Rhinolophus ferrumequinum: one gene and its partners. The protein of the gene in region 2 purifies or fractionates together with the protein of the main gene of each other region. This does not show direct contact. Links are inferred from orthologs where the notes say so. Each region holds a gene or a part of one and is shown on either strand. Other genes may lie near its edges.

The links.
Region 1: the proteins of CTNNB1 (region 2) and CDH3 purify together in Homo sapiens (affinity purification with western blotting; 7 studies listed by BioGRID and IntAct, with this or other methods). This does not show direct contact. The link is inferred for Rhinolophus ferrumequinum from reciprocal best matches to the Homo sapiens genes CTNNB1 and CDH3.
Region 3: the proteins of CTNNB1 (region 2) and CREBBP purify together in Homo sapiens (affinity purification with western blotting; 10 studies listed by BioGRID and IntAct, with this or other methods). This does not show direct contact. The link is inferred for Rhinolophus ferrumequinum from reciprocal best matches to the Homo sapiens genes CTNNB1 and CREBBP.
Region 4: the proteins of CTNNB1 (region 2) and HNRNPA1 purify together in Homo sapiens (affinity purification with mass spectrometry; 3 studies listed by BioGRID, with this or other methods). This does not show direct contact. The link is inferred for Rhinolophus ferrumequinum from reciprocal best matches to the Homo sapiens genes CTNNB1 and HNRNPA1.

The regions. Positions count from the first base shown.
Region 1 is NC_046298.1:18,007,228-18,014,791, reverse strand, and holds the start of CDH3 (cadherin-3), read right to left. Parts: upstream 3,124-7,564; 5' UTR 3,007-3,123; intron 2,832-3,006; 5' UTR 2,553-2,831; coding exon 2,496-2,552; intron 2,291-2,495; coding exon 2,170-2,290; intron 1-2,169. UniProt on the Homo sapiens protein: Cadherins are calcium-dependent cell adhesion proteins. They preferentially interact with themselves in a homophilic manner in connecting cells; cadherins may thus contribute to the sorting of heterogeneous cell types.
Region 2 is NC_046300.1:12,305,414-12,313,121, forward strand, and holds the start of CTNNB1 (catenin beta-1), read right to left. Parts: upstream 3,070-7,708; 5' UTR 2,910-3,069; intron 1-2,909. UniProt on the Homo sapiens protein: Key downstream component of the canonical Wnt signaling pathway.
Region 3 is NW_022680357.1:5,205,656-5,213,342, forward strand, and holds the start of CREBBP (CREB-binding protein), read right to left. Parts: upstream 3,018-7,687; 5' UTR 2,176-3,017; coding exon 2,091-2,175; intron 1-2,090. UniProt on the Homo sapiens protein: Acetylates histones, giving a specific tag for transcriptional activation. Mediates acetylation of histone H3 at 'Lys-18' and 'Lys-27' (H3K18ac and H3K27ac, respectively).
Region 4 is NC_046293.1:54,025,075-54,032,514, reverse strand, and holds the start of HNRNPA1 (heterogeneous nuclear ribonucleoprotein A1), read right to left. Parts: upstream 3,159-7,440; 5' UTR 3,016-3,158; coding exon 3,001-3,015; intron 2,457-3,000; coding exon 2,340-2,456; intron 2,043-2,339; coding exon 1,896-2,042; intron 1,768-1,895; coding exon 1,557-1,767; intron 1,460-1,556; coding exon 1,367-1,459; intron 1,283-1,366; coding exon 1,190-1,282; intron 902-1,189; coding exon 827-901; intron 613-826; coding exon 454-612; intron 1-453. UniProt on the Homo sapiens protein: Involved in the packaging of pre-mRNA into hnRNP particles, transport of poly(A) mRNA from the nucleus to the cytoplasm and modulation of splice site selection.

The DNA of each region.
Region 1 (7,564 bases), on a different chromosome or scaffold from region 2:
ATAGACACCTGTGATATTCATAACCCAGGGGAGAACAACAGGGGCAGTTGTTCCTTGGTAATATGGAAACTGTTTTCTGCTTGGCCAAACTTGAGAGTTTGTACATCCCCTCAGGATAACCTTTCAACAGGGCTGGATCCATCCTGTGTACTGGGGGAGTAAGTGGGGGGTGGAGGTAGGGAGATAGAAAGATGTTGGCAGCTGACTTGACTAAGGGGAGAAATATCAGCATTTCTGTTGGGGGATCCCAACATTTATTGGGACCCAGTGAGCCCAGAAACTTGCTTTTATTTAAAAATGGCAGCGGCCTACTTCAAGGGAAGACTGCTCTAAGAACCAGTCATGTTGCATGGAGGCTCAAGGTTAGCCAAGCACATGAACCCACCCTTTGTTTTATAACCCAGGTGTGCTCCTGGCATGAACCCACCCTTTTCACAACCATAAACCAGACATCCGAGAAAGCAGAATTTTCTCAAAAGGTTTAAAATGCCTGACGTCACCTGGAAGCACTTGCCAACCGGACCATGAAATCGAAAACCTGATCACCGCTTCCCCTCAACAACCTCAAGCTTAGTGAAGTGACAGTTAATCTGATATTTCTTGCTTCAGTAAGAAAGATAAAGCACAGACAACACTCAAAGCCACAGCTTACTCTCCAAGACTATAGTCAGAGAACTTGACAATGAGGGGGAGGGCTACAGTTTTGGCAGAGCTCTGGTTAGCAATAAAGCTTCCTCAGGGAGCCGGAATTGGATTTGGGGCCCGGCCCAAGTTAACATTTTTACAGGTTGGCTGAGCTGCAGTTTGTTAGCCAGTCAGTAATAAACCCATGCACAAGAATTTAAAGTTTATGAGGCATGGCCTCCTAATGCCTCTCCTCTCCCTACAGCCAAGAGTTTAAGGAGCCTGGCCTAACCTGGGTGTTAATTGTTTTTGTCAATCTGCAGAGTTATTTGGGAAAGAAGAAAATGGCTACAGGCTCATGGTCCCCAGTCTTCTTTCAGAGAAACAAAGGAGAGAGAGCCCTTCGATTCCTCTAGGTACCAGCAAGCTGTGGGAATTTGTACCTGGGGTCAGCGGTATGCTGATGGGGGCTGAGAAAAATGCTTGGTGATAACTTTCTTAATTGTTTTGAAAGCCAGGTAAACTGTAGATCCCCTCTCCAGAAAAATGTTCTTAAACAATTTTACAGCTTAAGAAACCTTTGGAACCCCACCCAAGGATACTGAGTTACATCTCTGTTTAAGAACTTGGGTTTGGTCCAGTGGAAGACCTCCCCCCCCACACACACAGTCCTGCGTGGAGGGAAAGAGGCCCCCATCAGCAGGCAGCTGCCTGGGTCTCATAACACACTGGTTCTCCGCACCAAAGTGACCCCCTTTCAAGTTTTTGAACTAGAGGGGAGATAAACAAGTAAATGGAGATCAAATATGTGCTTTGATCTCCCATCCACTTCTCCCGCAGCTCAAGACCTTCTTGCTTGGGACCCCCACTCCCCCAAGTGCCCTAACATACCACTCCGAAAACAACTGAGGAAGAGGAGAAGTGGGTGCCCAGTGCGTGATGGCCCCAGCCCAGGTGTGCCGGACCCAGTTTCCAGGCAGGCTGCAGGGGCGCAGACCCTCCGGGAAGGGCAGGGTTAAGAGTGCATTCCAGCTGCCGGGGAAGAAGGGGGGCGGGGGAGGGGAGCGCGAAGAAGAGAAACAGACCCGGTCTGTCTGTCGGAGACACAAAGCAAGGTACACAAAGGGGGCCCGAGAGGGGCGAAGGGGGCTGCCCGGGGCAAGACTCATCCCCACACCTGCGCGGGGGCTGGGGGAAGAATGTGGACCTCGCATTCCTCCGCTGAGGCCAGCGGGGAAAAACCTCCCACACCCCGGTTGGGTGAGAAGCTCAGCTGCCCCGCACCCCGGAGGAGGGGGTCAAGGTAAGCCGCCGCAGCCGGGCAAAGAGGGGCTGGACGTCAGAGGGCGCTACACTGTTCGGCGTTCGCGGTCAGACGCCCACCCCATCCCAGCCCCCGAGATGCTTTCTGCGCCTCCCCCATACCTGAGGGGGCGCCCTAAGTCCTCAGCCCCAGCCTGTACACACCTCGTGCGAGCCACACCGAAGCAGACCACCCGCCCCGCAGCCTGCGGTTGCACCGGGTGGGCTACCGGAGGGTCTTACCTTTCCCCGGCGCCTGGCTCGGCTCCAGCTCCGCGCCTCCCGCCTCCAAGGTCACTTCAGCTCCCCCGAAGCCCGTCCCACACGGCTCGGAAGCCGCGCATGGCAGCCAGCAAATCTGCGCCTGAGGGAAGGCAGGGAAGAGGGAGGTTGGGTTACAGGCGTTCCCGGCACTGTATACCCATCCCAGGATTACTTACGGAGCTTCTCAGGCTACTGTGGCCTCAAGGAGCCTAGCCCCGCGCTCTCCCGGACGACACCGCCGCATGCGGACCCCGCCCGCCCTCCTGGGAGTGTCCCGGCCCGGGCTAGGAGAGGCAGTGGGGTACCTGGAGTAGGAGGAAGAGGCGGAGGAGGGACGCGAGAGTTCCACTAGAGAGCCCCATGGCTGGAGAGAGGTGAAGAAGCTACCGCTACCACGGGCTAGCGCTCCAGTAGGCTCTCCGCGCCCGTTTGAGCACCGCAGCTCTCGGGAACCGGCGGGAGGAGGCCAGGTGAGCGCAGGTAGGTGCTGATTGGTCCAGCGCCGTAAGGTCCCGCCCCTTCGCAGGTGGGGCCGCGGCTGGCGTTGTCCAGGCACCCGCGAAGCGCCTCTAGTCCACCTTCCTGTGTTCTCTCGGCTTTTCCCGAACTGCTCCTGTCAGGAACTCCGCGTCTCGCAGGTTCTAGGTTCGAGAAAAACAGCAAAGAAAAGTACACCCCACCCCTGAGCCTCCGCAGCACGCGAAGAAAAGTGTTGCTGTGTTTTGTGGCTATAGCGGGAAAAAAAGGGAGAGGCATTTGAACCTGAACGGAAACAGGCGCCCCACTCATGCCCCCCCTACCCCCAGACACTGTTACCCAAAGCTTTGATGGAGGCGGGTTGTCCGCCCCATGCCCGGCTGCAGCAAGGTCTGCCGCCTGCCTTTCTCCACCTCCCACGCCAGCCCGCTCCGAGGACTCCGAGGGTTTAAAACGCAGTTAAGTCGCGAGGGACCGCGCTACAAAATCTGCTGTAACTTGCAGAAGACGCATTACTTCTCTTGCACAGCCGGACAAATGGAGGCTGGGAGAGAAGTTCTCAGAGTTCGGAAGCCGTGGTGGCGCCAAAGGGCGCGAGGTAGAGGAGTGATTATTAGCCCCATAATCTCCAGCAACAACCCCCCCCCCCATAAAACATAAATAACACTTTCTCAATTTAAAGGCACTTTTTAAGACGCGGCTTTTTATTGGTCTGAAATACTGAATATAATCTAAGTAACAACTGCGCAAAGCAAGCAGCCTTCCCGTGAGCCTCCCTGAACACAACTCACCTTCCCCCTTCCTGGGAGACATGCGGGGGACCTGAAGTGCTTTTCTCTTCGCAACACACAAGTGGGCCCTCGGCGCAGAAACTGTCCCTATACTCAATCGCTCCACTCTGCAGGCTCTCTTTTCCCCTGAGGCCCCTCCCCAGCTCTGATTTAGGAGACTAAAGTCTCTAATTATAGATCCTTTGGCCCTCAAGGGCTAACCGGGTGGCCTGCCTGTCCTTCCCATCACCAGGCTTGTGGCCGACAGTAGGACAGATTGCGCTGCGACGCAGGGAGTCCTCTGTCTAACCGAGCATCGGCTCTGGGGCGCACTGCCTCTGTTCCAACCAGGGTTGCACCACTTATTAGCGCTGTGGCCTAGGCCAAGTGAAATAACCCCTCTGAACTGCAGTGCTGCATGTAACAAACGAGGCTATTGTGTGACATCTGCCATCTGAAGTACTAGGATTAAATGAATTAATACATACAGACGAGGATTAAATTAACACGTCTAAAACCCTCAACTCAGTACCTGGTACAGAGCAAGTGCCCAAATGTTTACTGGTGTTGCTTTAGTACCCGGCTCATTTGTCTTCCTCCGCCTCGCGAGCCGTTTCTCTCCACTGCAGCACCCCCCCCCCCCGCCCGACTAAGAGAATGAGAAACGCTGTAATTCTTCAATTTCACGGCTCATGGTATAGCAAGTAATTGGCATCTGGTATCACCACAGCGCCCGGTTATCCGGCCTGTGGTTCCGCAGGTGGGGGTTGGGAGTTGGGGGTAGACAAAGCGCAGAAATATTGGAGACAGCTTGCTCAACTCCGCGCCTCCCTCGCCTCGCTCTCCCGCAGGGGGCGATTTCCGTGCGAGAGGGGAGGTTAGAAACCCCGCGCAAGGGCACAACGTGACGGGGCAGGTCCCAGAATGTACCCCATAGTTCCGCCTATCTCGCTTCGCAGGTTCCCCTTCGCCCGCCAGGAGCCAGATGAAGCCATTAAGCGGACAGTTAAACACAAACGAGCCTCGGGATACAGGTCCTAATTAAGTAAACACCCGGCTGGAGGGCTGTTGGAGCGCGCTCATTTCCGCCTCCTTCCAGGGCACTCAGCATTCCGGGCGGAGGCGGGGAGAGGAAAGGAGAAATTGAGAGTCAGCTCTCCTGCCTGCAACTTGGACCACACTGTTGTCTTCTCCGCAGCTCCCTTGCCGATCGTTCATCCATCCATTCATTCATTCAATATTTGCCTGCTATGCGCCAAGCACCGGAGATACAATCGTGAACGAACATCCCTGCACCCTTGGGCCTTCCATCCCTGAGAGTGTGGGGGATCGAGGAAAATAAACAAGTAAATATATATTATGTTAGATAATATCTGCCGTGTAGAAGAATAAGGACAGAATGTGACGTGCCAATTCACAGGGCAGAAGATAGGGTTGAAATTGCAAATAAAGTGATCTAGAAGGTGTTTCAGTAAGGGTCTAGCAGGAGACAGAATCCAGCGTGGAGAGGAGGAGGGATTCAAGTTAACTTAGTCAAGCAGCGAGAGGAATGATGAGGGTTCAGGGAACCAACGGGTACTGAGCCACAGCAGAAAAGCATTACAACTCTAAGGACTTAAGGGCAAAGGGAGGAAATGGTGTCATTGGGAGTGGGGGGGTTAGGGAAGAGCTGGAGAATGAGGGCTATTCCTCCCAAAGGCAGCTGTGGTCCAAGAGAGATAGGACCCTGCCCAGAGCAGAGCAGGGAGGATATAGGGGACATAGGGAAAAAAATAACCCAAACATCTCTTTCCTTTTGCCCTTCATCTCCTGGCCGCGCCTCCCATGGACCAAACCCATCCAGAAGCTTGAAGGCAAGACAGCCCAGGTGGTGGGTCCTATAGCAATCATTCTCCCCAGGCACAGCACCTGGTGGAGAAAGGCAGAAAACGGCTCGGGGCAGATGAGCAATCAGGAAGCCCAGAGGTCTCAGTGAGAAATGGACATTGGAACAAAACCTGAAGGAAGTAAAGGAACAAGTTACCCTAAGGATACCTGAAGAAAGAGTATTCCAGGTAAAAAACAGGGCAAAGACCCCAAGGCACTGGATAGATTATTTGGAACAGAAAAAAAAGCCAGTGTGGCTATAGTAGATCTAGCAAGCAGGAAATGAGTCAGAATTGGGAAAGTGGGGAGCTAATCTTGGAGAGCCTCACAGGCCATTGTTAAGAACTCTGGCTTTTACAAAGTTTGGCTTTGAGTGGGAAGGGAGGAAGGCACTGGAGGTTGTGTACAGAGGAGTAATATTGAGAAGACTACAGGGGATGAGGGCAGAAGCAGGGAGATGGGTTGGGATTCTACTGCAGTCATCCAGGCAAAAACTGAAATGGCTTGGTTCAGGATGGTTATTGTGGAAGGGGTAAGAGATGATGAGGTTATTAAAAAAAAAAAAAAAAGAAAAAACAGAAAATAACAAGTGTTGGCAAGGATGTGGAGAAATTGGAACACGTGCACTGTTGATGGGGATATAAAATGGTGCAACCACTATATGGAAAATACTATGGCAGTTACTAAAATAATTAAAAATAGGATTGCCACATGATCCAGAAAGTCCACTTCTGTGTATATACCCAAAACAACTGAAAGCAGGGACTTGAACAGATTTTTGTACATCCATGTTCACAGCAGCATTCTTCGCAATAGGCAAGAGGTGGAAGCAACCCAAGTTGCTTCGGTCTCCATTCATCGACCGATGAATGGAGAAACAAAATGTTTAATAGGTACAGACTTTCAGTTTGGCAAGATGAAGAGTTCTGAGGATGGGTCATGGCTGCACAACAATGTGAATGTACTTAATGACACTGAACTGTATGTTTTGTGTATTTTACCACAATTTTAAAAATTCCTGAAAAAAAAAAAAGGAAGCGATCAAATGCTGGGTATATTTTGAAGGTACTGACCACAAGATTGGCTAAAGGGTGTGAGAGACAGAGAGGGTCAGGGATGACTACAGGGTTTGGGGCCTGAGCAACCACCAGGATGGCACCGCCATTTCCTGAGACGGGGAAGATACATGGTAGTGGATCAGGACACCACTAAGATCCCCTGGGATTCCTTTAATTATTTCTGAGCTTCTTTCCCTTGGCTTCTATGTGCTGATGTCCCTGGCAGTTGGCACTTGTGAATCTCTTCAGAGCCCTGTCCTCCTGCTATTGGGGTGCCTTTGCCCTTGCAAGGAAGTGCCCAGGAGTTCACTTCCCAGACCATTAGCCAATGACCAACTGGTACAGGAGTGTGGAAGCCCAGCTCCCTTCTCCCAGACAAACTCCCAGTGGTAACTTACACCCACTGTGTCCTGCAGGGTCAGACTGAAGCTTTCCTCCAGGGACTTGCTCTGAAACCACACCCTTCCTCAGCTTCTTGCCCTCTTTATCCTGCTTCTCCTACTCGTGAGAGGCCCTTGTTAATAAGTCATTCCTTAATAAAGCACATGAATCCTTGTCTCAGGGTCGGCTTCTTGGAATCCGGGGAGATAGCTTTGCCATGATGAGAAAGCATCGAATCTGGGGACAATCTGTGGAGGAAGACTTGCTCAGGGCCTTCCCAACTCCAACAGAGCATAGCCTTCTTCCGCAGTGAGAACATTCATACTGTCCCTGACACACTCCACCCGAACAGGGCTAGGACTCTTTCAGTCTTTTGGCTCTTTCAAAAAGAATTGCACCTTCCCTGTTTTCTTTGTCTGCATCTCACATTTAAACACATGCTACTGACAGCCCTGTGGAATCCCTGGCATCCTCACTTTTTTCTGATGTCTTCCTGCCTCACTCTCCACTAACCCTTTCCTCTCTCTTTGGGGTCATGGATCAGGACTATCAGAAAACAATTTCTCCAGATTTCCACACAGCACCCAACCAGGAGAAGGCCCCATGGCATCGAAGTTAGGGCCGGCAGACCTGAGTCTGAATCTTTCCTCTGAAAACAACTGCCTGGGTGACCTGGGGTGAGTTGTTTAATTTCTCTGAGCCCTCTAGAGTTAGTAATTCCTACTGATGGGTCATGGTGAGAATTATCCCAAACTGAACTCCTGACCTTCCCCAACAAACCTGCTCCTTCTGCAATCTTTCCATCTCAGCAAACTGCAGTTG
Region 2 (7,708 bases):
CTGCTCTGGACGAAGAAGCAGTAGCAGCAGCTCCTCGTCTATGTTTAATATTTACTTTTATGGCATAAAAATGTTTTTTAATCAACCTATTTCAACAAAAGATATTGTATTACCAATAAAAAGAGGGCTACAAGGAAACAACCAAGTTAATACAACTAATGTTTTCAAAAACAATGTCAGAAGTCAACATGTAGCCCTACAAAAGGGTTGCCAACACTTTTTATTAGACATTTGTCCTGCTCTAAAAGCATTCATCCTTTCTGCCGTGGGTTAGCAATCAAGCAGGCTTCCAACCAAGCTCAAAGTACAAACTTAAAATTTACCACCTACTCATCTACAATGATTATCAGCAATTAGTAAACCATGAGAGAAACAAAATCATGGACAGATGTACTGTTTCAATAACAAAAGTTTCAGTAGGCTGAACATACTATGTAGCCCATTTATGGGGTTTTCATTTCACTGCTGCTTGTAACTTAGAGTGATAGTCAAACTTTTGAATTGTTCACATCTCTAGTTTCAGCAAGACTTAACACTCCTCTTCCCACTCCTCCCAACAACCAAGAAAAGGATGTATGAAGCTAGTTTTCTTAAGCACCACATCTCAAAATACGTTTAGAGAAACTTGCTGAGGAGGAGGAGGGAACTATTTATGAAAACAGACTTCATTTATATGAACAATTTTTATTCCAGTCATCACTAGGTAACAGTTGGAAGCTCAATTCATAGTTTCTTAAGTTTTAATACTGGAATATACATTTTTCTACCTAATAACCTTGGTAAAGGAAGCAGTCCGATAATTAGTCCAAAAGAAAGAACACTCTTGAATGCTTCTTGACACGCGAACACTGTTAAATGCCTCATTTTTTCATGAGCCACATTTTTAAAAACTTGGTTTTTCCTGAAAGCTATTTAAAATGACTATTCTGGCCTCTGGGAGAATCTCAGGCCTGGGACTCTAAATTACATGCTACTCTAAACTTTCTAGTACAGTTTTTTATTTCCCCCTCAAGGACCTCAGACTTAAATAGTCTCAACATTCCTTTAATCCTATAGAATAGCCTTCTGCAAGTTTTTCAAGTTACTTTTGCAATCACTTTAGGGCCTTGCCCTTGGACGTGGCCTTCAGAACAAAGACTAGGTCAAAGTAATGAATATCGGGGGCAAATTAATCAAATTTTGTGGAAGGATATTATCAAATGCACTTTATTGTTCCTCTTTTTTTAATCCAGAGACTTTGTGGTTTTAAATGTAAAAGTAAAGTAAATGCAGCAGCAACCTTAGGTCAGACAAAAAAAAAAAAACAAAAAAAATCTCCAAAATACGTTTATGTCACTAATTTAAGCAGATACTAAACCGTAGTAGCATTATGCAAATAACATTTTAAGCTATGTCTAACATTTCCTAGAATGAGGACTAGTTAACACGAAGACATATGAGGGTGTTGAATGTTTACCGAGAGGCAATAATGAAACGGCTTCCTAAATTCCAGACAAAATACTTAGTAACTTAGCCATCCGAAAAACATTAGCCTAGACTTCATCAAAGGATAGCCGTCTCTTCAAGTTGATGTCTAGTCTAAGCCACCACTATTCATGACACAAAGCTCTCATTTCACGAAAACCACTCCTCGATTTCCTTTTGCCGACCTCTGCATACCAGCAGGCCGGTCTCTCTTCATTCACCACTCACAACCGGGGGGCGGGTGGGGGGCAGGCCACAGATGTCTGAAAGATACAAACTAGGAGACAATACTCCCTCCAAAAGGGAACAGAAAACGAAGGGAACAACTACCCCCACCTGCCAAAGCCTTCCAGTTTAGCGGATTCAGAAGAGGGCTGCGAGAAACTTCCAAAGTCTCCGTTCGAGTCCTCTTCCCCAGGCAAAACAATGCAAGAAGTTGCAACGCCTGAATTTCCCTCGGCCCGTTTCGTAGCGAGGGAAACATTCACGCCGCTGAAAAGCAAACGTGCTCTAAAAATCAAGTTTCGCTGCCATAAAACTAGGGGAATAAATAATTCCTCCGAACGAGATCCTCGAAGCAGTCGGGGGCTGCACCCCGCGCCTTAACTGGTCAGAAACAGGAAGGCAGGCGCCCCAGCCCGCATTCTGACTGGGGTCTCACGCCCGATGCCATCCATTGCAACTCCCGGGGCACCGCACGACGCTTCACTCACCTGCACGGCACAAGAAAACATAGGTGCAAGACACGGATCTCCTGTGTGCAAATCCTACTGACGCATCGCACCGTTTGCACTGCTAGTTTGGTTCCTCTAAGGTTTAAAGTTGCTTCGATTGAAACAAGCGCCAGTGCCAAACTCAGGCGGAGCGTGGAAAAAAAAAATACTAACAATTCTCTTAAGAATTTTCCTTAAGGACGAGGGAGGGAATCTGGAGAGAAAGTCCACTAGCCCTATCCCCACGGCAGAGGGGACCCAGGGTGGTGTCCCAGGCCCGGCGCCCGTACCCCAACTCCCCGCTGGGAAGGCGGAGCCCCCGTCCCCACCCCGCCCCCCACCCCGGCCCCGGCGCATCCCGAGGCGCAGGGTCCCTCCCCCAAACTCGGCCGCGGCCGGAGCCCCTGACGGAAACCAGAGTCCCGCCGCCCCCCACGCCAGCCATCCCAGCTCTTGGACGCGCCCTCGCGGCGCCCCCTCCCCGCCAGCGGCGCCCCCAAAACCCCCGAGAAGCAGGGTGACCGAAACCCGGGCCCGGCCGCCGCCCTCCGCCCCCGGGTGCAGCCCGCCCCCGCCGTCTCCCCGGCGCCCCCAGCTCCCCGCTCCGGGCCTCCGGGGCTGCGCCGAGCCCGGCTCTCAGCCGCCGCCGCGATCGCGCGCCCTCGACGAAGTTTGGCTCCGAAGAGGGAGCGGGAGCAGCCCGGAAGGGTAAGGAAGGGAGCGCCCAAGCACCTCAGGGGAACAGGCTGCTCCCGCCGCGGGAGTCCGACCGTCCTCGGCCTGCGGTGGCGGCTCGGCGGGGACTGGAGCTGCTCCTCGCACCGTCCTCCGTCTCCGCCTCCCCTCGCTCTCCGCTCTCGGAGACGGGATAACGCGGCTGCCACAGACCGAGAGGCTTAAAATGGCGCCGCACAAGGACCTCTTATAAGTCGCGCAGGAGCCGCTGTATCCTGCCGCCAGCGGCGCAGCGCGGAGCGTTCCGCCGCGCGAGGACAAGGGGCGGGGCGCGGGAGGACGCGGAAAGTAGTCCCCGCGCCGCGGAGCCGCCGGGCGCCGTCCCAACGCCCGGGGCCCGGGCGGGGCGCCCTCGCGCTCCCGGGACGCGGTCGGGGATGGAGCCTCACCGCTGCCCCGCCGTGCGGGACCGGAGGGCGGCCCGCGGGGGCGCCGTAGTTCGGGGTGGGCTGGAGGGAGGAGGCACCGGGATCCTCCACTGTCCCGAACCGGACGCCCCCGCCCCGCGCGTGCCCCGAGCCGTGAGACCCGACGCGGGGCTTGCCGCACGCTTTCTGCCGCCCGCGGGTGGCGGCATCTCGGCCCCGGCGCTCGGGGGCCGCGCGGAGCAGCCCGCACAAGTCCTGGGAGGGCGGAAGTTCGGGACTCAGTGGCGGAGGCGCGGGCGCTGAGGTCGCGGCCCGTGGGGCCACTGGCGCTTCTGGGCGCCGCCTCCGCACCGCGGTCGGTTGGGGGACTCGGGCGGGTTAGGGCTTCCGCCGCCGTTGCGGGAGGGCCACACACTCCCTGAAGGGCATGGCTCCCAGCGGAGCTGCACACCACCCCCAAGCCCCCCAGTGTCCGGATCGTGGGTCCCGCATCCCACCCGTCGGCTCAGCCTGAATCTGGAAGTGAAGTACCGGGCGGAGCCGCCTGCTACCCCCACTCCTGAAGGCTGGGAACTCTTCGTTAGAATGGGCGCCTGGCCCCGTAATTCAACAAGTCGTTATGAGTACCTACTGTGAACAAATGACGGATGGAAATGGGCTAAGTGTACAGCCCTGTCAATTAGGTTAATTCTTATAGATTCCGCTTTTATGTGGGTCCACCGTGCTACTAAGTATCAACAATTTTTTTTTTTTTTGCGGGGTGGGGGAGGTTGGAGAAGATGCATTTCTATGGTATTACTTATTTGAGAGGTCCAAGTATGTTGTGAATGGAAGGAGCTATACCGATTAGGCAGCTTCTCATTTTTTAAAACTAATTTTCTATCCTTCAAAAACATTTTCTAATTCGTTTTAATAGGCTGAAGTTGGTCTTGATTTCCCTTGGAAATGTCTCCATTGTAATCCAGCAAGATTGGCGTTTGTCAAAGCTGAAACAATTATGATCGATTCACTTTCTCTAGCCTGTCGTTTTATGCTTATTTTTCTCCAAAACGATGGAGAGAGTACAAAAAGCAACAGTGAAAGTTATCTTGAGGCTTTTATCCCTGTAATTAATGCATGCAAACAATAGGTCTTTATAGTAGGTACAGGCAGGAAACCCACTTCCTCATTCACTCATGGAGTGGGACATGTAGTTTTAGGCATAGCTAATGCTTCAGGGCCCAACAGGTTCTTTATATATATATATATTATATATATATATATATATATAAAATATATATATATATAATATATATATATAAAATATATATATATATAATGTCTTAAAGATATGTTCCTATATACAGTGGTAATGTCAGCTGCTATCACCATAGCACATGTGGGCCACTGCAGTGGATAAAATCCACATACTGACTGAGATGATGTTCGTTGAGATCCATTGTCTAGAACGACTTTTACATTTGTATCTTTGCTAGTAATTCTGTGGAAGTGTTGCAAATGGTTGTGGTTAACCGGGCTGCTCATAATTAAAACAGATTGAGCAGAAAAAGGTATTTCATCAAAGCAATGTTTCTAATATAAACGTTTTCGAAAGTGTAAATAGCATTTCCAGGTACTAATCCCCAATTTTAATTCTCGTACACAGAATTAGGGAATATACAGTTGATTTGATTAGCCATACATTTAAAATCAGATGACTGATTAATCAATATTGAAAGATTTTTTTTTTTTTTGTACAGATGTTCCCTTTTTCTGTGTTCAGTTTCTTGGTTTTTGTTTTTTTGCTAAATAAGGCACACTGTTAAAACTGTTTAAGAAATATTTGCACTATTAGAACACCTACAGAATAAAAACTCTATATTCATATTTCTCTATTCAGGTGCCAAAGTAATTGAAGGACTTTTCTATAATTTAGATGTCTTAACCTAAATTTAGAATTAAGATTTTTAAGTCCCTAGTAATACTTTAAGCAAACACACAGTATCAAAGGAAATATAAAATTTGCAACAATGCAGCAAGCTGTTTTTCCCATCAAATTTAAGTGTACTGAAGAATTACTGGGTGACTAGCATTAAAAAAAATTAGTTGAATTTAACAAATTACTGAGAATTTGTATTTACTTATCTCAAAAAACAAATTGTTTCAATTGTCTGACCAAAAATATGAGATGAATAACTTCTGTGAAATGAAGACAAATGCCATCATTAAACCAATGAGAAATACAACAAAATACCTGATGAGTTGGTGAAATAAGTGATTTTGTAAAACAACGATTCTTAAAAATTAACCTTGGGCAATACGTTTTGTGAAAAATACTTGATTATCCTTGTACACATTTTCCTCCTAGAGCCAACCACTTGGGTTTGACATAAGTTAGTTCATTTTGTAAAACTGCAAAAGACAAATGGTTCTAAATTTCAGGCTGTATTCCTAGAAACCAGAAGTGTCTTCAGCTGGTTTAAAAGAGGAGGCATTACTTGCCATAATATCAGACCATTGGCACATCAAGCAGTGACTACATGGACTCTGAATACAAAGCATCCTCCTTCACTAACACCCATCTTTTGAATCACCTTTAGGCAAAGAAATAAATGCCCAGATTGTTTTTGCACTTCCGACAGAAACATTAATCCGGGCAGCACTTTAAAGAAGACCCGTTCACTTTCTGCACAGTTAACTCTATCAAATCTATTCATTAAACATTTATTGAGCACTAAGACAATAAGCTCCCTTTAGAGGGAGATGGATGACTGGCTCCTTTTGATTAGGTCCCTTAAAGTAATATAAAATTGTAATTGTTAATCAACCTTACTTGAGAGTCAACAGAAACAGTAGAAAACAGTGAAAGGAGGGTGTGGCCTCTGGACTCTATATCCGAATCTCTCTGGGAAGAATCCTCTCCCAGCAGAAAGGTAAGACTAAGTAATACTCCATGCATTTATGAACAATAAATCCTAACTCTCTAAGAATGCCTGTTAAAAATATTTCTTTTGACAACCTGAAAACACTGGACAGTAGTCAAGATCAGCTTTTCATTTAGCAGTTCACCGAGTGGGCTATTTATGGATTGGAACTTTTTGATTTGCAATACATCATCTCAGGGTTCACTGTTATCTCTTGATTTCTTTCCAGCTGAACAGGCTAAGTAGTTGTAAATACTTCTTGTCAGACTACATGGTTGGCTATTCTCGCACACAGGAGTAATCTAGGAACCTACTGGGCAAATTCGGCAGAGAGCTACTGTGGAAAGCTTGCATCTGGTGTGCACTGCAGACCAAGGGAGGGGCGGTGAAGTTGGTGGGAGGCGATGGCCTTGGTGGTGGCGGTGGCAGCAGCAGTGGTGGTGATATTCCTGGCCGCTTCAGTTATGCCAGGAACACTCTTCATGCTGGGGGTTATGTGTTCTCCAGGCCTTCATTGGTTTGACACAACAGTCCTTGCCAGACTAAGGGAGTACATTTTAATGGCTACCACAGAAAGTGAAGGAGAAGCAATGGACACATCATCCACTATAATCAAAGAGCACAAAGGTGTATGTTTTGTCAGTGTTTCTAAGAACTAAGATAAGTACGGCTGTATTGCGTAGAAATTATGCTTTGGAGATATAACCCCCCCAACATACAACACACACACACACACACACACACCTCTATTAAAAATTTCAAAATGGTTGCAGATATTTCATTCACAAGAAGGTTAAAGGCGTTTCCCATCGAAAGAAGGATTAACTTACCCGAGGATTCTGGGACTGCAGATGGATACTGCGGCAAAATCCTAAATTCATCGAAAAAATCATTTCTGGACTCCAGCTGCTAAAAATAATAGAATTATAGTAATTCATGAATAAGATTAGAACAAGCCATTTTTCACATTCCAAAGTGTTCAGGAAAAAAAAATGATTCTTTTCTTTTAACTCATTTCTTAAACAATGCAAATTTTAAAGTAGCTTTTCTTTCCAGAGCACGAAGCGCCATGAAATCGATAATTTTTGATCTTTCGGTTAGTAGGCAACATGGTGAGCTAGTTGCAGGGACTGCAGGCAGCAGACATGTTCTTGTCAGCTCAAAATTTTCATATTGTTTTTGAATCCATTGAGATTTGTAGATGTGATATCACCGTTTTTTGTCTTAGCTGGCACTAGGCACTAGGGACGCAAACCCTCAGTTTATCGACCTAGGCATGTCTATTGCTTTATATATATTAAAAACAGGGAGTCTTACTGGATCTTAAACAAAAAATTATGTAAAAGGAGTGGCCGGTGTGATTATAATCCCATCATGCAGGGTCCACGGTTCCCATTTAGTGAAATTTCGCAGAGGGCAAGTTCTTAAGAACATCCCTGCTGTGCAGAGTGAAAAGCATGAACAAACCAAAGACAGAATTCATCTGTGTTTATATTTTACAAACAATGAAAAACCTACTCTTTGT
Region 3 (7,687 bases), on a different chromosome or scaffold from region 2:
AAAAGGAAGGGGGAAAAAGTGGGCAAGAATGGAAAATCCTTTTGGATAAACTTTGATGTACTTAGCAGCACATTAAGTATCTGACCATTCAACAACGGAACTACCCAAAAGGCCATCCTTTGGGCTCCATCTTGGAAACAGCAAGATGTATATACTGTGTTTCCCCTAAAACAAGACTTAGCTGGAAAATCAGCTCTAATGCATCCTTTGAGGCAAAAAATAATTTAAGATCTGTCTTATTTTACTATAAGACCCGGTCTTACATTAATTTTTGCTCCAAAAGACACATTACAGCTGATTGTCTGGCCAAGTCTTATTTTCGGGGAAACACAGTAGTAGATCAACCTTTTTGTTAAGTCTTGTGTTAATTTGTTCCTCTGTATAAAACAAAATCTGCAATAACCTCATTCAACAGTAGCAAAGTTGCAAAGCCATCCAAAAAGTTACCAGTTTCAGAGACAAGCTTCAAAGCTGAACTTGCCTGGTATGATCTACTTTTCATATGATTAAAGACTTTTCACTCAAAAAAGGCAAGATTAATGAAGCAAAGGAGATCTGCAGTAAAAGAGCATTTAAATCACAGTTGTTTCCACATTTCTCACTTCAGGTAAGGCGATTTTACAAGACTAAAATCAAACTCAACTCTTTATTAGTTCTTAAAAGAGTATTAGTAACTTTCATATCCCATGACACTTATTTACTCTTTCCCACTGTAGAACGAATTTCATTTTAATTAAACAACAATCTCCTTGATAGATTTTTACGTAAATTGTTTCTCTCACTTCTACATTAACGAATATTCTAGGAATTGTATTAAAACCAAAGCCATAAAATTCAAGCTCTGTTTCAATAGCAGAAATAGATTTTTAGACCACGAGTAGAAATGTGCTAGTGGTCAGTCACAAAAATATTTGCAGAAGCTGAACAGCTGTGTCTACTGCAAATCTGAAGGCATTGCTGCAGCAAATCTAATTCAATTTGGACTCATTCATTATAAACTGATTTTCAGATGCTGCTACTGCAAAGCCGTACTGGAAAAATGCAAGCTGCGCCCGGAGACAGAACTGTTCCCAGAGGCGACAAGTTCTTACTGCCAAGGAGAGCTCTAAAAGAGGAAATACAACTAGTTCATAATGCTACCATGAACCAGCCCAGAAGAACCCAGAATTATTAAATGAATAGAAAACTAAAATATTTCTCTTAGGCAATTGATAATGATTACCTAAGGAAGTTTACAGGAAGCTGCTTAATGAGAAAAAGATTTATTCAGTATCCTGCTAAAAGAATTGTTTTTGAAAAACCGTAATTCCTGTGTTCCCTAATATTTTTCATACATCTACACTGTAAAAGTAACACGAGCTCAAATGGCGATTGCAGCCCAAATGAATCTATTTAACTTTTTTTTAAGGTTATACATGTGAAATTAAACACACCACAGTAACTTTTAGAACATCCTGCTAACAAAGTTTGGGATTGTGGAAAATGGAATGACTCGGTTGACCAAACAACGAGAGTTTTCAAGATAACTACTAATGTGCTCCCAAAGAGCACAGAGCACATTCCAAGAAACTTCTAAGTCGTAACTCATAATCTGGCTGTTGCTGAGTGTCTTCTGGTCACAGCGTTGCGAATGTGTCACCAATTCAGAAAACACTTGGGGTCCCCTTTCGGCGGCACTATTTGCTTCTCTATCCGTCAAACTTACCCTTTGCTGTCATCCCTCCAGACAGCCACGCGTGTGTCGACACACGGCGGCAGAGGGAGGAGTATGGAATCACCACGCAAAACAAACAATCTCCTCTTTACTTTTTCTCCCTGGAAGTACCACTCGGTTTCCACGCGAGAAAGGTCCACCAACTCCGGGGAACCCGAGTACACCCGGGCATGTGAGGCCCAACTCGGGTTCCACGACAGTCTTCCTAAAAACTTCCCGTCTCTGGCGGAGCTCTCGGGGAAGGGGCTGCGCCGGCCTCCACTTCGGGGAGCTCCGCACGCCCGCCAACGAGTTCGGCTCTCCGGAGGACACTCACCTTCGGGGGGATCTGACAGCGACCCCCGGGGCTCCCACCCCCGCTCAGCCCCCTCCTCACCTGTGCTGTCATTAGCCGAGAAGCCGGGCGAGCTGAGTTTGGCTCTTTTGGGGTTGGGCGGTCCGTCCAGCAAGTTCTCGGCCATTTTCACCTGCTCGCTGAAACAGCCCCGAACGCGGGCGGCGGGACCAGCGAGTGCTCCGGAGCGGGGGTCGGCGCCGGCCCCAGCCGGCTACGAAGGGAGAGCAGCGAGCGCGAGCGGCGAGCCGCGAGCGAGCGCCGAGGGAGAGGGAGGGCGCAGGGCCGGGTGGGGGAGGCGGCGGCCAAATCTCAGCCACAGCAACAGCGCCCCGCAGCGCTCACCGCCCGCCCCCGGCCGCTGCCGCCGCCGGCCGCGGCCCCCTCATCCCCTGCCCGCCTCCCGAGCGCGACACTCCGCGGCGGGGGCGCCCCGGCGGCCCGGCCGCCCCCACGGGCCCGGCTGGTAGCGACGGCGCCCGGCTGGCCGGCTCAGGCAGTCCCCGGGAACATGGTGCCGCCGCCGCGCCGCCGCCTCACTCCCCCCCCCCCGCGCCCCACTTAATTAATTCGCTCGCGGCCCGACGACCGGGGGGCTCCGGGCTCCGCTCTCTGCCCGCGGCCCGCCGCTGCCGCCGCCGCCGCCGCCGTAAGAAAAAACAATGCGCGAAGCGGGGCCGCCGCCGCCGCCGCCGCCACGGCCCCCCCACCCCCCGTTCCGCCGCCGCCGCCGCCGCTGCCGCCGCCGCCGCCGCCGCCGCCGCCGCCGCGGCTCCGGGAGGCCGAGCCGAGAAGCGAGCGGGGCCGCCGGAGCGGGCGCCGAGGGCCGGGCGGAGCGGGCCGGCCGGGCGGAGCGGGGTGCGCGGGCGGTTGTGGGGCCCGGGACCGGCGGGGCCGAGTAGATCGCGCTCGAAGCCCCGGTCGGGTCCGCGACAAGATGGCGGCTGTTGATTCCTCAATTAAAAAAAAAAGAAAGTTTTTTTTCTTCTCTTTCCAGAGCCTGAACGGGGAGGGGGAGGGGGCGGGGCACGCCGGTGCGTCACCCCCCCGCGGCGTCACCACGCACGGCCCCCGCCCCGCCCCCTCCACCTGCGCCGGCCCGGCGGAAAGAGCCGAGCGAGCTCGGGTAGTAGGGCCGAAGGCGCGGCTGCGGTGTGTTGCGCGGCGGGGCGGCGGCCGGGCCTACGGGACCACGGACGCCGGGCCCGGCGGACACTTTTGTTCTGACCGCGATTGGGCTGCCGGGCCCCGCCTGGCCGCGGACCGGACCCCAGGCGCAGAGTCGGCACCGGCCGGGCCTGTCCGTCCCTCTGGGGCGACTCTGCCGGGTCCCGGCTCCTCACTTCCCTGCCCGCGATGTCCAGGGCGACACGAGCCAAGCCTGGTCACTTCCCCTTGCCGGATGCCAGCGATCTGTCGTGGCCTCTACAGGTTACAGACCGCCCTAGGTCCGCCTGCGAGCTTGTGCAAATGGGGAAACTGAGGCAGGAAGTGGCAGGGCCGGGATTCGAACTTCCGCTGTCAAAGTAAAATGAAGGGGACGCAAAACTCCTGAGCCCCTGCTCCCCAGCCCAATGCGACGGGGTCCCAGGGGCCGACTCCTCACCTACAAGGGAAGGTGGTGAGCGCTGTTCCTACCCTGGGCTGGGGCGCGGCCAGCCTGTGCCAGGCCCAAATGGCCCCTTACATCCGGGCTTGGGCCCTGGGAACTCCGCAGGAGATCCAGACAGGTGTGGGGTCCGGCTAGTATAGCCACTCCCCGCGGGACAGTTCCACAAAAATCTAAGGTTTGCATCCCAGTTTTATCTGTTCCTCCGACTTGCCTGGCGCCTCATCCCGAAGTCCTTATCTGAAAGGTATCACCAGCAACCCTGTTTCCTAAGCCAGAAACCTGTGAGTCAACTCAGACTCCTCCCTCTCTCTCTCCACCCACCGTGCAGCCAGTCTGCCCACGTCCTTTACCTGGGGAAACGGCTCTTCCTCCCCATCCCACTGTCCCAGAGTCGTTCAGCATCGCCCGGGTGGCAGCTTCCCAGTTAAACGTCCCTTGCGCTCTACATTTCTCCCCACGCAGCACCAGAGTTAACTTCCTGGAAAAAAACGGAAAGAACTCTGTTTAAAATAAATAACTCCTACACATAGGGAAAAACAAAACACACACACAAAAACTATATATATAGTCTTTAAAAAATAAAAAAAGAACATGTGTATAGTCTGTTTAAAATATGTGTACCAAAAGAGATTGTCTTCCAGTGTCAAGACTGAATGATCTACTTTTTTCTATTTATATTGCTCAAAATCTTGTACTGCCCCCACCCCTTGCTTCTGTCCCTTCCACTTTCCATCCCTCATTCCGCCATCACGTCCCTTCACCTGCTCAGCCATTAGGAAGTTCTCATCATTCAGGCCTTTATGTATTTTTGCAAATACTGTTCCCTGTGCTGAGAATATATATGTCTGGCAAACTCTAACTCACCCTCCAAGACCCAGTTCAAATGTTACCTACTCCAGGAAGCCCTCCTAGCCCACCTAAAGACTCCCACAGCACTCTGGGCATACCTCTATGAGGACACATCCCACAGTATGTCATTATTTTTTTTATCCATTCATGTTTTATTTATCCATCAAATATCCCTGAGAAACTCCTGAGGTCACTGCCGTTGGGCTAATCGTTTGGGTAAAGAAGAAAGAAAGGAATCCCTATATATTCAAGGATGCCAAGTAGCAAGCCTTGGAAACCATAAACAGAAGTATGTAAGAAGTCAATTTGCAGAGCCAGGCAGGAAGTGTATCGAGTCACAGAGTAACATAGGGCTGGCAGCATCCTATACCTGAATGTACCATGTGTGTCCCTCTCATGATGAGTCTGCGGGCCCTTTGAGAGAAAGGGCCATGTCTTACTATGTACAGTGCCCTCCAAGAAGTAGGTTTGTAACATGAATGAATGAATGAATGAATGAGTGAATGAGTGAATGAAAATGAATAAACACTGTCAGGTCCCCTGACTCCCCAAGGCTTTCAGTGCCCCCTGAGTCCTAGAGGCCTCCAGGCTCCTGAGAAAGGTGGGCTCCAGCCCGAGGCAGTTCCAGGCCACAACCCCACAGAGGAGACAACACGTCAGGTCACTGAGAAGCCTCAGTCAGGGTCTACCTTGGTTCAGTAGGGTTACCACCTGGCCCTCAGGGTCCCTCAGTAAATTATTTACACAGCCATGTGCACATGAACTTGCAGCATACCCCCATCCGTGGGCAACTATGACACAGGTCGTGCCCCATTTTACAGAGAGGGAAACTGAGGAGACCCAGTTCAAATGACCCAGAGGTAAATGGCCTGGATATGTCAGAGCCAAGGCAGAAACACAGGTCTTCAAACTCCAATCACATGCTCCTCCCTGACCACGTTCAACATTAAAACATGTCTCATTTGTATCATTTTGATCAATTCCTCTGGTATTTCCTGACATCTGCTTTTTCTTTCCTATTTCTTCTCCCCTTGTTTTGACTCTTCCAAAAACGTTGTGCTCAGAATTGATAGGGGAATAGCAAGGAAGTTAGCTGTCTGCCTGCACATCCTTAGCTGGGGATCAAGGTCAACATAGATAAAAGGGACCCAACACTGTTGAGTCCCTTCTGTATGTCAGGCCACTTTGCGACATGCTGCACTTGGATCAGCACTTCCCACAATCCTGGAAGGAAATATCATTGTCTTCATTTTATAGATGAGGAAATAAAGCACAGAGGAGGGCAAGTCACTCAGTTACTAAGAAGCTCAACTAGGGTTTCCAGGCAGGAATTCCTGCCCGTTCTCAGGAGTTTTTTTCATTTTCCCGTTCCCGAATCCCAAGATATAAACTGTTTTCTGTTCTCCATGATGAATCCTTTCCACAAAGTGACAGCCAATACTACCAACCAGCTGGGTTCAAGGAGCCGATTTTCCCGATTTCCCGACCAACTTTTCTCGGGATTTGGGAACGGGCAAGTGAAAAAATTTCATGAGAATGGGCGGGAATTTCCACCCGGAAACCCTAGGCTCAACTGGATTGCAAACCTAAGGCTGCCTGCTCTTTCCACAGACCTCACCCTCTCTAGTCAATCCCAGAGGCTACAGGACCAAGGAACCCCACTTACAGAATGCTTAGGGGCCAAGAGAATGAGGTGAGGAGGGGCCAGCAGAGGAACAGAAGGTAGAAATCAATCAGGAAAGATTTCCTGAGAGAAGTCCATTTGAATCCCTCAGCCGATGAATGGATACACATACTGTGTTACATCCACACAATGGAATAGTATTCAGGCATACAAGGAATGAAGCACTGACACAGGCTACAACCTGAATGAACCTTGAAAACGTTATGCTCAGTGAAAGATGCCAGTCACCAAAGACCATATATTATATGTTTCCATTTATATGAAATGTCCAGAATAGGCAAATTCACAGAGACAGAAGGTAAAGTAGTGGTTGCGGGGGCGGCGGTGGGGGCAGGGGCTGAGGAGAGAGGGGAGATAGTGGATGGTAGTAGCTAAAGGATATTGGGGTGATGAAATGTTCTAAAATTAATGATGATGATAGTTGAACAACTCTGAACATACCAAAAACCATCGAAATTTACACTTTGAATGGGTGGATTGTATGGTATGTGAATTATAACTCAATAAAGCTTGTTTTTAACATATCAATTTAGAAAGAAGGAAGAGAGACCAGGAATGACGGAGGGAGGCAGGGGCTCCCAACAGAGGGAAACAAGTCAAGGGGCCAGCTGGTGGAGCACACAGAGATCGGCACGGTGGTGCCAGGAGGAAGGCTCCAGGAGGGGTAGATTTGATGTGACTGGGATTTCCCAACTGGGGGCTGAGGGATGAACTGGCACACAGTAAACGAAGACCGAGATTCACAGACTGAACTAGAAAAAGAGGAAACTGAAGAGGAGAGGCTTTCCCCCCACACTCCAGTTGCACAATCAGCTGCCTCCTGCTTTGGACCCCAGTGGACACCTCACACCCAGTGGGCTGCACACAGAGGCCACAACCCTCTTCCCACACCAGCTCCTCCTCACGTTCTCCCCGTCCCAGGAACACACCCCTCTCTTCTGTGGCCTACCTTCCCACCTCCCCTGTCCAGAACCTTTACCCCCTCCCCCAATGACTCCTCTGGAGGGTTTATTACCCTCCACAGGGAACCCTTACACGGCTCCATCTCTTCCATTCCCAGACAAACTGCTTGACCAAGTTGTCTATACCACAGACCTCACCCTCTCTAGTCAATCCCAGAGGCTACAGGACCAAGGAACCCCACTTACAGAATGCTTAGGGGCCAAGAGAATGAGGTAAGGAGGGGCCAACTTGCTTCCTTTGCTACCATTCACGGTTTTGATTTTTTCTCACGAAAAATTTCATTCTGGGTGATGAACACACAATGTGATTTATAGATAATGTAATACAGAATTGTATACCTGAAATCTATGTAACTTTACTAACAATTGTCACCCCAATAAACTTTAATTAAAAAAAAAGAAAAAAAAAGAAAAGTTCCAAACAAGTAGAAAATAATACATAGACGCTCTGTCTACGTGACTAAGGTACACAATGTTAACATTTTGCCACACCAGCTTCAGATCTTTATTTTACTTATTTAAGAAATAACAT
Region 4 (7,440 bases), on a different chromosome or scaffold from region 2:
CTGCCTGCCTTCCTCCCAAACTGATGGCTCCAATGCTTGATTGTATTTCATCCTTTCTTGGCAAGGCATTCAGTTGAATAATCCAGTATTTTAAAAAATTTACCCAACTCACCACGACACAGAACATTCTCTAGCCTTTGAAGGCCTTTACCCATTCAGGGGCACTGCAAACATGCTGGATACATCAACTAAGTGCCTAAAGTCCCAAAGATACTAAATGCTGCTAGAAGCTAATCTGATTCCAGCTGAAGATGCCACTATCCATTTATTCATCTATTTGGGAGTGAGGCGGCCCCAGCTTAAAGCCAGGAGGAGGTAGCACAGCAAGTCCATTAAAAAATACCATGCAGCGTACCACATAATGCTTTAAGAGCACCAAATCCCCATACGGGCACAAATTCTACAAGGCTAATCTAGCTACTGCACCAAGTACCTGGATCACTGGATACCTACCACTACCACCGCCAAAGCCGCCTCCGCCTCCTCCGTTGTTATAGCTGTCATAGCTGCCACTCCCGCCATAGCCACTGCCCTGGTTTCCATAACCCTGTCCACCACTTCCATAGCCTCTGCTTCCTCCAGAGTAACCAGGGCCGCCTCCTCCATAACCACCTACAAGAATACAATTCTTCTCAATAAGACAAAAGTATTCAACAATCAAAATCTGTTTAAGCATAATGGGTAACAGCCTGGTCACATGCTGTTATAGTCAGAGTTCAGCTTGTCATGCACTAGTTTTAGTCTCTACTAACCTAGTATAGACTATAGGTTACCACAAACTTTCCACCCATGTATTCCTAAAGAAACAAAAACCACACAAACGTACCATCATTACCAAATCCATTATAGCCATCCCCACTGCCACCATATCCTCCTCCTCCACGACTGCCTCCAAAGCCACCTGGAAGAAAGTGGAGTTTTAAAGCAGGTTCGGAGTACGTGCATCACATATAATTATAGCCTTTCAAGTCTACTTCAGGGAGCAGTTCCTGTACTACTAAAATGATTTCCACACCAAAGATTTTAACTTCTGATTAGCAGAAACCAGAACTACATTTGGATAAAACTGTAACTTTAGAAATGCCAGTCAGTAGTTACATAGAGCTGCAGGTTGTAAAAAGCACAAGTCAGGCAGGTAATTACATCACAAGCTTACCCTTAATTCCCAATAAAGCAGAACCACATGTACCTCGACCACTGAAGTTTCCTCCACGACCAAAGTTGTCATTCCCACCAAAGCCACCTCCTCGACCACCACCGAAGTTTCCAGAACCACTTCGACCTTAAGAAGAGATAAGTGTTAAACCACAGATTGTAATTGCTCAGTTACCTTTATTTAAGGTTTAACTAAAAGCAACAAACCCACCTCTTTGACTGGATGAAGCACTAGCCATCTCTTGTTTAGATAGGGCTTTCCTTACTTCACAGTTGTGGCCATTCACAGTATGGTATTTCTGAACTAAAAAATTTCAACAATGAAAAGGGACAATTCTCAGGGTTTAGAGAAAGATATGGATTTCAAACCCCTTGGTAAATACCAGTCATCTGATACTCACTGACAATCTTGTCTACAGAGTCATGGTCATCAAAGGTTACAAAAGCAAAGCCTCTCTTCTTGCCACTGCCTCGGTCAGTCATGATTTCTATCACTTCAATTTTCCCATACTGTTCAAAATAATCTCTTAGGTGATGCTCTTCAGTGTCTTCTTTAATACCACCGACAAAAATCTTTTTCACAGTTAAGTGGGCACCAGGTCTTTGAGAATCCTAAAGGAAAAATCCAATTAAGTGACTTACATCAGCAAAATCAGTATTAAAGTTTGCCAACATCCCTGAACGTAACATCCACCTAGTAGCACACTTCTATATGACTAACGGAAAGAAAAAACACTTACTTCTCTTGAGACAGCCCTCTTTGGTTCCACAACTCTTCCATCCACCTTGTGTGGCCTTGCATTCATGGCTGCGTCCACCTCCTCCACAGTGGCATAGGTGACAAACCCAAAGCCTCTGGAGCGTTTGGTGTTTGGGTCTCTCATCACCTGAGATATTAATTCATTTAACACATATTAAGACTCCAAGAACTACTGTCATTTCTACCTTGGATAAGGTAGCAGGAAACTTTATACTAGCCCTCATACAAAGCCCTTCAACTTAATCTTACCCATCTAACAAATCTATTTACATCTTAATCAGTTAAAGCCTCACCTTCCCTTGCCAAGTTACTTCCAACTATAATCCTGTTAGCAATCTTCAAAAGCATTCGGACAGTAAGTATAACAAGATAAGCCAATGAAATCAACTAGTTCCAGTGCTCTTTTGTCTCTTCCAGGTCTTACCACACAGTCTGTGAGCGTTCCCCATTGCTCAAAATGGCTCCTCAGACTCTCATCGGTTGTTTCAAAGCTCAAACCTCCGATGAAGAGCTTCCGCAGCTGTTCAGGCTCTTTGGGAGACTAAGAGTGGGGGGGGAGGGAAAGCGTTATGTCGGTCTGTATCGCAAAACATCTTCCAATTAAGAGAAACGAGACAGCAACGTACATAGCACTTATTGTTCCAGAGGGTCGCAGCAAGCCACGTGCTTCTCCCCATTGGGGAGGCTCTATGTTGGGGGCTGGGAAACGGCGAGCGCATGCGCCCCTACAATCCCTCCGACGCACGCGCCAACAAAAGGTCTGGGCGGGAGGAGTGCATCGCCAATAAGGGACCACAGCTGCTTAAAAAAAAAAAAACTCGCCCACTGAGACGAGATAAAAATCGTTCACTGTGCCTAAGAGTTTTACCAGGAGGACCAAACCCGGCGTGATAACTAAGGGTTGCAGAACGGCGGCCTCATGGCGACGACGAGGACAAAATGGCGACCTGAACTTCGGGAGGGGTAGGCCCTGGCAGTGACCGAAGAACTGCCGAATGGGCTGGCGCAAACAACCAATCCAGGCCGCATCCAACCCAACTCAGAAAGGAGCGAGGAAGAAAATTAAGTTGGACAGAGCATCTTACCTCTGACTTAGACATGACGACCGCGGGAGGGGTGACTTTAACGATGCTTACTCGGCGGCGTCCACCGACAGAAAGGAGTGATCTAACGAACGTATCTGCCAGCCTACCTTCGGCCTCGCTGTTTTATCCCGCCTCCTCGCTTACGGCATTGGTAGACTCCGCCCCTGAGTAGCTCTGACTGGATATTTGAAATAGCTTCCTGCTACTATTGGACTGTGGTGCCGCATTGCTGTGTAACGTCATCCGTTTGGGCGTTCTACGTAGTCTCCACCCCTTGGAGTCCATTGGTTCCCGTGTAATGTTACTCCTGACTAGTGTGATTGGCTAGCCAACCAATCATTCATATTTGAACATCCTGAAGGTATTTGAATAACTTTTTGGCTCTCCACGCCCCGAATATTACATTCTATTCAGTTGTCAATTTATGATTAATGCAGTGTATTAAAAAATAGCATATTAATTTTATTGTTTGCAACAACCGCCTGCTGAGCGCATGTGTAGTAAAATGGCGAGTTTACGCAGGCGCAATAAGAAGTTCCGCTTGACTCTTGGAACACGTGAAATGGCGGGCGGGAGACGGCGGCGAACCTACAGCGCCTGCGTTGTGGCGGGAGTTGTGCCTCGTTTTGCGCAGGCGTAATGGGCGGAGAAAAAGGTCTGGTCCCAGGATTGGTCGCGCAGGCGCAGGGAAGGATCCGTTTTGGCGGGCGGTTGGCGTTGCGCAGAAGGCGGCGGCAGCTGTGGCTTGTGGTCCGGCCTCACCACAGAAGAACAGGGAAGACATTAGCGTGAGTGATCGGTCTCGATCCCGGGTAAGTGGCGGACAGTCTTGCCTACCCATACGAGGTCTTGAACCGACTCCAAATGGGCCCGTTATTGTGTGAAATGAATGGACCGCGGGGTGGGGGCTAGCGGAGGGGGAGCGGTGGGTCCGGCCAACCAATGGAAGAACAGGGGCGGGATGTTTTATCCCTGTAAGTTCTGTGGAGCTTTGCCGTCTAAGAGTTTGACTGGCGAGTGTATAGGCCAATTGGGTCTGCCTTTAGCTGCCGACTGATCGGTCCTTGGGCCATCGGAATGTGGGAGGCGGGTTTTCCCCTTCTGAGCAGCGTCTCACTAAGCCAATGAGCACGAAGCGCGCGGTAGGTTGGGCTCCTCTAAGAGGCAGCGGTTTGACTCCAATGGGAAATGCGGGAGTTGGGCGGTAAAATGGATGGACCAAATCTGGAGCCAGTAGGAGGACAACCTACTGAGAGCGCTCTCCCGGGTCGTCCAATCAGCGCTCCAAAAGACGGAGGTGCTGGATTTGTGTTGATGAGGAAAGGGATTCAATGCCTGTGATGGCGCTTCGGGATGGATATTTTATCCACTATGACTTTTCTAACGAAGCCTTTAGGCCTCCATCGCATAAGCCTCCCTGGTATGGAAACGATACGTTTGCTCCTGTGTACGTCGAGTTGGGCATCCCCCCGCCCCCTCCAACACACACACATCAGTACATCCCACCATCCACCATAGGTTTTGGGGGGAGCAAGGAAGAAGGTCTTTTGACTTTGAGAACTAGCTTCTTTAGGAAGACCGACTTGAAATGTTAGAACAAATAGAGATTGTACTGTCTTGAAAAGGTGCCTGAGGAATATCTACGTAATAATACATATTTCCACATACAACTCGATATTTGTAAGTCCATAGAAAAAGTTTTGGAAAGCTACAGACCAAAGTGTGTTACCCCCAGGAATACAGTGGCATTGAGGCAGATTAGATCTCTAATGTTTAAATCTTTGCAGGGATAATAATAATTTGTGATTAAAATTAAAGTCTGTTGATTTAGGGTGTTGGGGACAGAAGGGCTCATCCATCACCTGGGTTAGTTCATTGCCTTTTGATTATATTTCCTTAAAAGTGTTTATTTTTAGATGCAGTCCATTCCCTGTTGGTAATGCCCATTCTGCTTATTCCAAGATTTTTACTAAAATACAGAAATTTTCATTACATTTTGGCTGTATCAGAATATATACTGCTTTACTCACTGATGTATTTATTTAGAGTCAAGGGAAAAAAATCTTTGAATACTGCCGTGAGTTCAATTGCATATGAAGTATCCTTATGGTTAGAGAACATTTCTGACTTATAAAAGGTGATTTTAGTTGAGATATGAACAGAGAGATTTCCATGTTCTCTGGCACTTCCCAAAGGACAAACCTATTTCACGTTGTTTATAAAGTATTTGTAGGTATGCTCAAAATGCGGCTCCTTAATTTTTAAGAATTAAAAGGATATAGGTTTGAAAAGAATAGTCTTGATCTACAGGGTTTCTTAACTTCAGCACTATTGACATTTCCTGCAAATGCATCTCACCTCTCACCCCCATTTTTGACAATCAAAATGTCTCCTGACACTGCCAGATGTCCTGGGGGTTGGGTGTTTGGGCAAAATAATCCCCAGTTGAAAACCATTGATCTAAACTGACATGCTAGAGTTGATTATTTTGTCAAAATCTTTTACCAATTGGAAATTAGAGGGAGAAGATGGGTGGTGATGTGTTTAGGAGGTGGTTTTTAGTAAATGGATTACTAAATCCTAATGATTATCTCTTCAGATATAGTGTTCCATTGGATAGAAGGAAAATTTCATTAAGGTGTTTACTATTTAAACATGTTTGATTGCATCTTCTGTTTGGCTTTCTAAAATAATGGCAAATACGTTTTTTTAAAAAGATATACTTGCCTCAGATGCTTCTTACATTTTCACCTGAGTTAAGCCTCTTTCCTTTATTGGGATTCTTTTTTTTCTTTCTTTTTTTTTTAGATTTTATTGGAGAAGGGGAACAGGACTTTATGGGGAACAGTGTGTACTTCCAGGACTTTCTTTTTTTTTTTTTCCAAGTCAAGTTGTTGTCCTTTCAATCTTAGTTGTGGAGTGTGCCTTTCAGCTTCAAGTTGTTTCCTTTCAGTCTTAGTTGTGGAGGGCGCAGCTCAGCTCCAGGTCCAGTTGCTGTTGCTAGTTGCAGGGGGTGCAGTCCACCATCCCTGGTGGGAGTCGAACCGGCAACCTTGTGGTTGAGAGGATGCACTCCAACCGAGTCATTCGGGAGCTCAACGGCAGCTCAGCTCAAGGTGCCGTGTTCAATCTTAGTTGCAGGGGGCGCTGCCCACCGTCCCTTGCGGGACTGGAGGAATTGAACTGGCAACCTTGTGGTTGAGAGCCCACTGGCCCATGTGGGAATCGAACTGGCAGCCTTTGGAGTTAGGAGCATGGAGCTCTAACCGCCTGAGCCACCGGGCCGCCCTTTATTGGGATTCTTTTGGATCAATGTCTCAAACCTTTTTAGATGTTGACCCTTAATAAAAAATATATTTTATATTGACCCTGTACACACATTGAAACAAGTTTCACTGTACAAATAAATGTGCAAAGCACTCTTGACATTTTTGCATCTACAGTACACTATTTCCTTTTTTTAAAAATACAGGTCATTTTCTGCTGAACTGATTTCACAGCTCTGTACAGATCCACAGTTTAGTGAAAAAAGAAAAACAACTGGTCTAAAGAATAGGTAACTAAATTATGCCGCCTTAGATTATTCTCTGTGTGAGATTATTCCTCCCATCTTTGGCCCCAGCTACTTGGATTTATAAACAAATTAATCAGTGAACCCTTATTTGATGTCTGATATATTTTCATTTGAAAGATTTCAGGCTTTGAACATAGAGTTCTTGGTTTATTGTGGTGTGCAAGTAAAAATTGCTTGTTTTACTGTGAATTCTCTTAAAATGTCATAATAGGCATGATGAACATTTCTCTGGTGGGTAAATTTTAGTGGGTAATTTTTCATTGAAACTCTGAGACTATCACGTTGTCTAACTTCAGACTTTTTTCATTGCCTTTGTAGAACCTGGTTTGGTTGTTAACACGACAAAATGTTGAGCCTGAGTTACAAAAATTAAATTTCAAGCACCTGTGCTTAGATCTTAGAGGCATACTATTGCAGCCAAACCTGAAAGAGAAAATAACACACCTTCACTGAAAACCAATCAGTAGAAAGCTTCTATCTGGGTGGTAGGTGAGCAGGGTGATGGTTGAACAAAAGAGAAAGAACATCCTCTGAAGTGACTGGGTTTTTATATGTCTAGGAAAGTTTTGGTGGTTTTAGAGCCCTGACAGTAGTTCTAGAAAAGGTATCCAGGGTACAAAGGTTTGGGAGGAAGGCTAGTGTTTTTTGCTTTTATTGAGGTATTTTATTTAACCACATAGCATGATTTATATATCTTATTAGAATAGCCCATGTAACAACCCCTGGTAAAGCATTTCTTTCCTTTTTTGTTCTTTTACTTGGTCTATTTTTATTTCCATTCACTTGACATGAAATTGGGCCTAAAGCTGTGAATATTGATTTTAAAAGTAATAAATTATAGTGTGAGATATCACTTGTGACTGACT